Linked DNA regions of Arabidopsis thaliana. The protein of the gene in region 2 interacts with the protein of the main gene of each other region in a pairwise test. Each region holds a gene or a part of one and is shown on either strand. Other genes may lie near its edges.

Region 1 (4,076 bases), 5.7 Mb from region 2:
CATGTGGACAGTCTCAACGACTATACATTGTTCCAGCATCGATCATCTTTGAAATAGATGCAGGAAAGACCAAGAAGCGAGCCAAATTCTCTTATATTGGGAGAGATAGAGGCTGCTTCACAAAAGTCATCAGCTGATCAACAGGTTTTTCCGAAGAATAGCTTATGAAGAATACAGATCCTCAAGTATTAATGATTACGTTTCCAGTCTTGGAGCTCTCGCTTTCAGTGAATCGTTATGTTGTGTAGCTCAGAACTATATTATAGAAACAATGCTTATATTGTTGTTTGTTTTTGATGTGGATGCATGGAACTTGCTTGAGAACTCTTTTACAAAATGGAGAAACGAAACTTGTAAAATTTGGATATTTTCTGTTTATTGTAAAATTTGGATATATTTTAAGAATTGCGTTTTGCTTTCTCGTTTGTGATTTAACCCAGTTCGTTTTGTAAGCTCTATTTACACCATCAAATCTTGTCAGTTTTTTTTGACGTTTTGTTAGTTTTGCACCTCTTTTACTGTGTATACGCAGAGGCAAGACATGGTTGAACCAAGACGAGCAAAACTGATGTACAATAAACAGAATAATCTCATTTCCAAAACTTCTGGCAAAACATTATATTTTCTCAAGGGAACAAAACACACAGACAAGTCGAAACTTTATGGGTTTGTAGCAAGTTTGTTGAAGGCGGCGTGAACTCTCTCTTCCGTGAACAGTCTATGGTTTTCATAGAAATCTAATATCTCCATTGCAATATTCTTCACCTGCCAATATGTTCACAACATTCCGATGAACAACTAAACAAGACCATGCCTTCTAGTAACAACAGAGATAACAGTGCATGGACTTACAATGTTCATGTCGACAGAAAGCTCTTCAAACCATGTCTTTATGTCTTTCTCTTTGTGTACAGAAGCAATGTAAATGCAAGCGAGTGTTATGAGAAACGGCGGATGTATAAGGATGAGGTCCATTCTATATGTGTCGTTGACAAGACCCCTAAAGTTTCCACAACAAAACTTAAAGCATCAAGAGAGCATTTACTTTTTTGCTTGCAAATCAAAACCTGTTTAGGCTCTCTTCCAAGAAGCTTAATGAAGGACAAAAGTTTTGGACACTTACCAAGTTAGATGGGTCATACTAGTGTCATTGATTCCAGAATCCTGCAAGAACCTGCAAGTAATGCAAGAAGGAATAATCAAAACGAAATGCAGAGTATAATGGCAAAAAGATTTCGATGACGACACATATGATCCTAAGCAAACGACTTACTCAGGCAGAGATCGATATGGGTGGAATACAACAAGATAGAAGTTCAATGCTTCCAAGACCTTCATCTCCATTTCCAGAATATCTTTAATCTCATATCGAAACTTTTCATCCGCATCTACAGAGAGTGAAAGCATCCAATCTCATCAGAAACTCAGACAAAAAAAACTCAAGAAAATTTTGGAAGCAGAAAACAAAAAAGAATTTACAAAGTTTTTTCATGTAGAAGACAAGAAGTTTGGCATGCACCACACTCTCTTCTGCTTTGCAAGCCAAATACAAGCATGTAGGAGCAACAAGCCGAGGCTCATATTCCGTCAAACTCTTTCTGTCAAAACACACACAACAGTACCCATAAATCAAATGACCAAGCCTCGTGCTACACAACGATTACCAAAGAAGCCATACCTTGTGTAAACACGACGCATATAGGTTACTGCAGTTGCAACAACTCTGAATCATAAAAGTGCTAAAAATCAGTCAGCATTGTTCAAAGGGTCATAGCACATTCCATATCTCTTTAAGACTAACAACGAAAGACTTCACCTTTGCCTAATCTTAATGTGTTGTGCCAGTTTCGATATATCTGAAATCAAATAACAACAAGGAAAACACGAAAAACATGATTCATGACATTAGAGATGTTAAATCCAATCTGGAAATTAATTAACAAGGTAATCAAATCCAATGAAAACATACAATTAGACATATGAAGCTTAATGAGTCTGAAATCTTCAACAGAGATTCCTCTCTGAGCATCAAGAGGATGAACAACATTAACCTCTTCTGGGTCCTTAAGCTCTTTGCTGTGAAAATAAAACCCACAAAACGAATCAATCAGGAACATGGAAATTGAATTAAAAAAAGACGATCTTTAATCATTGATTGAAACTTACTAGTGCGTCGAAGTCCAGAAATTGGAAGCCATAGCTTCTTTGATCCTTCAACTTCAAAAATACAAGCTTTTTATTTTTATGGTGTGGATAATGAGAGCATAAAGACCACCAAGGAAAAATACAAAACAAAAAAAGTAATAATTCAGTATTTATCTTTTTTGATAGAAAAAAAATTATTTACCAAAAAAAGTTTTTAAAATTCTTATATGAAATCTTTTTTTTTTTTTCATATTTCTCATCTTCATCAATTTGACCTTTGTTTTATTTCACATTTTTGCTTCTACGAGAGGTTTAGGTTTTGGAGAAAATAAAAGGGAAAACAAACCCATTATGATGAACAATTAACAATAATGTTTACTTTAAGATTAATAGGTTTGGTAATAACAGTGTTACATGTTTGCCACAAAGCTAGATGGATGGGCAATTGTGGAAGTCTCTAATCATTTTTTTCTGTGCGATAAGTCTTGGAGATGGAGGTGATTCTCTACAGCTTCAAAGCCAATTTGCTGAAGGCAGAATTCACTTTTTCCTCTGTGATTGTTCTGTAGTTCTCATAGAAGTCCAGTATCTCCATGGCAATATTCTTTACCTGCAACCCATTGCCCCATGTAGAGCTTTCAAAGTCACTAAAGAATACCGAAAATCACGCAAAAGATCATAGCTATTCGCTTTAACTAATGATTGAATAACTTTTAGAAGAATGACTGACCAAGTTCATGTCCTCATGAAGATCTTCAAACCATGCAGTGATATCTTTCTCTCTGTGGACACTTGCTATGTATATGCATGCTAGCGCTATGCGGTAGGGAGGGTGTACAAGAATGAGGTCCATCTTATAAGTATCATTAACAATTCCCCTGAAACACGGAAAATAGGTTTTCAAAATGCTTTTTATACAGGTCAGAGATCTCTTAGATTTTAAGGTTGGAGCTAGGAATTGAGTTCTATGCAATATATCTCATATAGAAGGACTTACCATGTAATCTGGTTCATATTTACATCGTTTAATGCAGCATCTTGCAAAAACCTAGAAATCAAAAGAATGAAGTATTAGAATGAGTGTTGATTTTCTGACCATCAAGGCACACAAAACTCTCACCAAGGAAATATTAAGGTGGTCCAAAATTTTGATATAATGAGAAACATCAAGAACATTGTATGGGAAGACTGCAAGTTTTTACATGTATCATCATTTACACTTCTCCGTTTGTAACCACAGACAATAAGGCAAACATGTTCAAAGCTTCCGAAAAGCGGATAAGAGAGATGAGTGGACATACTCCGATAATGACCGGTAAGGGTGAAACACAACCAGATAATAATCTAGTGCTTCTAACACCTTCATCTCCATTCCTAATATATCCTTTAGTTCATATTTGTTGTACTCATCAGGATCTGCAAAGATATAAGAACCGTTGTCGTCGATATGTCAAAAAAAAGCATATTGAAGGGGAGGTACTCTCATGATTTGAAAAATAAAAAAACAGAAGAAGAAGATATTACACAATCTTTTGATGTAAAAAACAAGATTCCTGGCCTGCACTATGCTTTCTTCAGCTTTAGATGCCAGGTACAAGCACGTAAGAGCAACAAGTCGAGGCTCAAACTCTACCATACTCTTTCTGAGATAGTATAGTAACAAAAGGAAGATATTAGACACCAAAACTGAAAACTTTCGTAACACAGTTAACGTTTTTGATAGCAGAGATGCAACATAGAGAGACACTGGCATGACAAGAATTTAACTCATTTCATTCCTCACATACACAAAGATGCACATTGATGTATACGATCATATCAAAAATACATTGCATACCTGATATAAACCCGTCTCATATACGTAATTGCAGTAGCTACAACCCTACATAAGTAGAAAAACCAAGGCGACGATTCATATACAAGTCCAGGTT
Region 2 (5,204 bases):
TGTAACCATTATTGGGTTGTAATATTTTTAGACTCTTATACTTATCTACTAAAATAAAGAAGACACAACTAGCTAGTTTGTAGCAAACGTAACGATCACGTTAATTAACAGCCTAATAATTGTATTATGGCAACGTCGTGGGTCCATTGTGTATCTTTAAATCATAAACCGTCTCATAACATTGGCCGCCATATATTTAAGAAATAAGAAAAATACAAAACTAGCTTTCTGACTTCTGCTAAAGACAAAAATAGCTAGGTTTAATTAAGAAGAAACTGTGTGATTGTGTCGATCTTGGTAGGTCAATGCTTCATATTTATACTAAATTGCTTGCAAACAGTGAGTTTTATCTTTAGCAGAAGTCAGAAGTCTGTTTGTGACTTCCACGATGCAGAATCACGTACAGTTTGTATAGCTTGGTTCACACATTTCAGGCTAGTTCAAGGTTTGTGGTTTTCTTATCCACTTATTTATTGTATTTGTCCTGAAACAAACAAGCATATATATAACTCTTCTTCGTTCTTTTGAATCTTAAATAAAAGTCATAATAATAGAAAAACATTTCTCATTCATTTGTTTGTGTTGTATATATATAATATTTCTATTATGAAACTGATGGTAAGGTGAACAAAAACAAAATTTTGATTTGGAAAAGTATTATGTTCGTAATAATTGGATCACTGCTTACGTAGTATAATTGAATACAAGTTTGAAAACATTATTTTACTAAAGTATAATCTTTTCAAACTTTAATAGCAATGTTTAAACTGTGTGGTATTAAATATTCATTAGGTCTATGATTGATGATGTAATTACATTAGATTCTAATGTATGTTGGTGGTAAATAGATAAGACTGGCAGGTAAAAAAAAAACAAATTTCATAAACAGTAGAAACATCACCAAAATTGTGTTCATAATAACTGTAAATTGTGTTCATAATAACTGTCTCATTATATATATTTTTCACTTGGCAAATCTCCTATTTACTACGTTTTGAGAAATGATGTTAAGAGAAATGATGATCTAATATAATTAACAAATACTTGAGAGGATGTTTATACAAAAACTACAGAGAATCCAATCCATCCATATGAATAGCAACATTCCACATGCTGCATTACAATCTAACTCTACTCTATAAAGCAAATCGCAACGCTTTCTTCTGCGGCAAACACACAGATTCTAACCCGAGACTGATGATCTCGATTTTACCTTTAGAGGCGTCTGGATTTGTTAGGAGGTGCGTAACCTGACATACCCATTCCGGGATCTTTCCTTCTTAGCTGTTGCTGCTGGTGCGGTTGAGCCATCCCGCGCTGCTGCTGCAGCGGAACACTCGGGTTAAGCCCTGCCTGTGCCGGGAAATTATAAGCCATCATGCCTTGAGATTGCTGCATCCTCTGCATGTTATGTGCAACCATTGGTCTTGGCATCGATCTACTGCCCATTCCATGAGCTCCTGCCATGTTCCCTGCTACGTTTCCTGCTGCTACTGCTTGAGGCGGATTGATGCTTGTCGTGCCTTCGAAATCGGTGTTTGTATCTACTGGACGAGTTGGGTAATTCACATTCTTCTCCATCGGTTGGCTGGCTACAAATGCGTTCCGTCCTGGGAGAGGATCCATTCGGAAATACTCGTGTTCTAGTGCTTGTGAAGCCGTGATCCGCTTTAGAGGATCATATTCCAGCATTTTGGATAACAGATCATACGCAGGACTTTTCTGATTCAGGTGAACCACGTTGTGGAGACCCACACTGTCGTATTTGTGAGCTTGAATGTGTTGAACATCATTTTGCCAGTGTGGAAGGTTAACTAGTGTTGGCCATTTATCCATCGTCGGGTGGCCTAAGATCTTGAATATCTTGTCAAGTTGATCTAACTGGAAAGGGTTTTGAGACGATTTCGCTTCTGCTCCTTGAAACAACGGTTTAAGAGTTAGTAACTCCGCGAATATACACCCAACTGCCCACATATCAACAGCGCTCGTGTAGTGCTTCGAACCAAGAAGCAGCTCTGGTGCTCGGTACCAGATTGTGACCACAACTCCGTTATCCGATAGTGGTTTCAACGGAGCTTGATATATCCTTGCGAGCCCGAAATCAGCTATTTTCACTATTCCGTGCTCTTCTGCATCACCCATAACCAAGATATTCGACGGTTTCAAATCTCTGTGTATAATCCAATTACTGTGAAGATAGTTCAATCCGTTGAGAAGCTGCCAGAGCAAAGACTTAACTGTGTATGTGTTTAACGAATGGCCGACTTTGTCTCTGTGGTGCCTGATGATTTCATAGAGATCGTACTCGGCATAATCAAAGGCAAGATACAGAGACATGTCTGCAAAATTGATGTGGACATTCACAAGCTTCACGACGTTCTCATGGGAAATCTCTCTAAGCAACATGATCTCGCGGATAGCAGTCGGGGAAACTCCATCTCCATCTTTGGACTGCTTAAACTTCTTGATAGCAATAGGTCTTTTAGGCGGAGTCTTGGTTCTAGCCAAGAAAACAAGACCATAAGTGCCTTCACCAATCTTACCAACGAGATTGTACTGTTGCAGCCACTCTGGTTTCTCACTAGTGCTGTTTGAGCTGTTGGATCTACTGGAACTCCCATCTCCCATTGCTTTTTAGTATTATTCTCTACCTCAATGTCCTTACCATGTGAATCGGAAAAGGGGTAGAGTCTAACAAAACAAAACAATCTTGGTTTCCTCTTTGTAGTTCTCCTGAAATTTGAACAAAACTTTGGAAAATCAGCCAAAGGAATCAAACCGTACATGTAATCTATCTAGATTCTAGACTCAATCAAGTGATCCAGAAAACTTACAAGCAAGAAACTTCACAGAAAAAGATCTAGGACTCCTCACAAACCAAATTCCAAAAGGAACGTTTCAAAATTAGCAGACAATAAAATTCACATCCCTCAGAAAACTTCATATGAACAAATTCAGACACAAAGACTCCAAATTATCAGCAATTGACGTCTTATCAAATCTCATATTCAAAATAGAATTCATCTACATCGAGACACGAAAGCTCGAGACTTTACTTCAAAAGATGGAAAAGGGATCAATCAATTCAGCAGAAATTACCAAGCTCCAAAGACCAATAACCAGAGGAAAACCCTACAAATTCAATACCCAGAGCTACGGTGCCCTAACCTAATCAAAGACCAAAAAATTTCGATACCACTTTCAAATTAAAAACTTCGAGGCCTTATACGATCTGTTTTTACATTTCTCAAAAATCGACGATCAGGAAAATAGAAATACGTAAAGGATCTGACCGGATAAGGCGGTCGGATGAATGATGGGAAGAGGAGCTGAGCTTGGAGAACCTCGGAGATGGAGGAGAGTAGACAAAAGCGAGAAAATTCCGGTGAGACGTCACGGAAGGGAGAAGATTGCGTTTTCCAGAAAACGGTGACGTTCCAAGCAGCCGACGCTGAGAATGGAAACTAGATTTGTAATTTTTTTAGCCACTTGCTCCAACTACGCTATTTATTTATTAGTAAATTCATTTATTTTTGTGTTCAAATAAGTAATTTCATTTAAATCATCGATATACATTAGTAGATTGGATATTTCTCATCAAAGATTTAATGATTTATAGATAATTTTATCAAAAGAGAAATAAATTGTGTTTTTTTATATATATGTCAGTTATTAATATTCTTAGAAAGTAGAAAATTGTGAAAAGAGGGAAGAAATTAAAAATATTAACAGTATAGAAAAACAATAAATGTTGGAAAGAAATGAAAAACAGTAAAATTATAAATTTTGTCCAGTTACTACAGTTTTTTTTTTTCCTTTTCACTGTCTAAACAAACACAAATATCAGATTAACAATGACCTTGTCTGAAGATTGTAGCAACTAAAAATAGACCTCAGTGAAACAGGTGTGAAGCAGTCATTCACAAACCAGAATCAAAAGGCTATATTGGTTATAGTATCTCAACAACACCTCGGCTCACGATTTTGCCTTCGTTGAGATCTTGAAATGCTTTTCCTGCATCTTCAAACTTGTATTTACTTGAGACTGCGTTTGTGAGATTGAAAATCCCTGACTCTGCCAATTTCACTACTTTAGGAAGATCCTGTCTTGCTCTTCCTCCATAAGATCCTATAACTTTTATCTTCACAAAAAATTGGAAAAACAGAACAAAAAGAGATTCAATATCATGATCTTAAAAGACAATCTCAGTACCAGAGACTTTCTTCTAACAAGGCCGAGAGAGAGAGAGTAAGAACCCCAAACCTTTCTACGAACAAGTCGATTTATGTCAATTTCTCCAACGGAACCAGCTTGTGAGAGTCCAATCATCACAGCTTTTCCACCATCTTTCACACTTAGTGTGCACTGCATGAAAGTTTGAGGCTTTCCCAAGGCTTCAACAGCAACATCAACACCCATCCCACCGGTTATTTCCTACGAAGAAGAAACAGTTTTTCATATTTATATCAATCAATGGTTCATCTTCACAAATAAGAGGTCTTGAATCAACCATACTCTTATCCTTTCAACAGCATCTTCTTTAGCAGCATTGACAATATGAGTAGCACCAAGTGTCTTGGCCTTCTGTAATTTATCATCCTGAACATCCACAGCAATGATATCCGAGGCTCCAAAAGCCCTTGCGATCTGCAAACAACTGAAGCAACAACTCAAAGATGGTTATGGTCATACAAGAAGCAATAAAACCCAAATCCGGTAAAGAAAAGAAAATGCCACACATTTAACATACCTGGAGCCCACACCACCAATTCCAATAACTGCAATAGAATCTCCAGGACGGATCTCAGCAGCATGAGCCATAGCACCATATGCTGTAAAAACAGCACATCCCAGAATGGCAGATTCAGAGTAGGGCAAAGACTCTGGTAGAGGAGCTAAACCATGAGCTGGTGTAACACAGTACTCAGCCATCCCTCCCATACTATACATATACACTGGTGAATCTGCCAGAAATTAAGAAATGTAATTAGGTAAAACAATCACAGTTCTCCTAATATGCCACCTGATGTTTAAAAAGTCTTCAAATTTACCATCATGTCGCAAAAAGAGACGAGTTTCGCCATCGTAAAGAGTTCCCTTGGCTCTGTTGTAAGCAAAGAAGTCTTCACATAGATCATCATGGCCCTGTATCCAAATTAAAATATCAGCTAAAAAGCTACAGTTCTCAGATTAGAGAATCCGA

What was found. The genes of interacting proteins can lie anywhere in the genome.
Region 1: the proteins of CDKE;1 (region 2) and AT5G48630 interact in a two-hybrid assay, tested with the Arabidopsis thaliana proteins (one study listed by BioGRID).

The regions. Positions count from the first base shown.
Region 1 is NC_003076.8:19,721,003-19,725,078, forward strand, and holds AT5G48630 (Cyclin family protein), read right to left. Parts: upstream 2,167-4,076; 5' UTR 2,118-2,166; coding exon 1,970-2,117; intron 1,857-1,969; coding exon 1,817-1,856; intron 1,724-1,816; coding exon 1,679-1,723; intron 1,599-1,678; coding exon 1,480-1,598; intron 1,389-1,479; coding exon 1,274-1,388; intron 1,175-1,273; coding exon 1,124-1,174; intron 1,001-1,123; coding exon 853-1,000; intron 766-852; coding exon 661-765; 3' UTR 501-660; downstream 1-500. Other genes in the region: AT5G48640 (Cyclin family protein), read right to left, coding at 2,651-2,755, 2,876-3,023, 3,143-3,193, 3,447-3,561, 3,670-3,788, 3,983-4,027.
Region 2 is NC_003076.8:25,462,430-25,467,633, forward strand, and holds CDKE;1 (cyclin-dependent kinase E;1), read right to left. Parts: upstream 3,494-5,204; 5' UTR 3,294-3,493; intron 2,734-3,293; 5' UTR 2,629-2,733; coding exon 1,216-2,628; 3' UTR 933-1,215; downstream 1-932. Other genes in the region: AT5G63620 (GroES-like zinc-binding alcohol dehydrogenase family protein), read right to left, coding at 3,951-4,135, 4,258-4,435, 4,517-4,658, 4,752-4,965, 5,053-5,146. UniProt on the Arabidopsis thaliana protein: Involved in cell differentiation. Required for the specification of stamen and carpel identities and for the proper termination of stem cells in the floral meristem.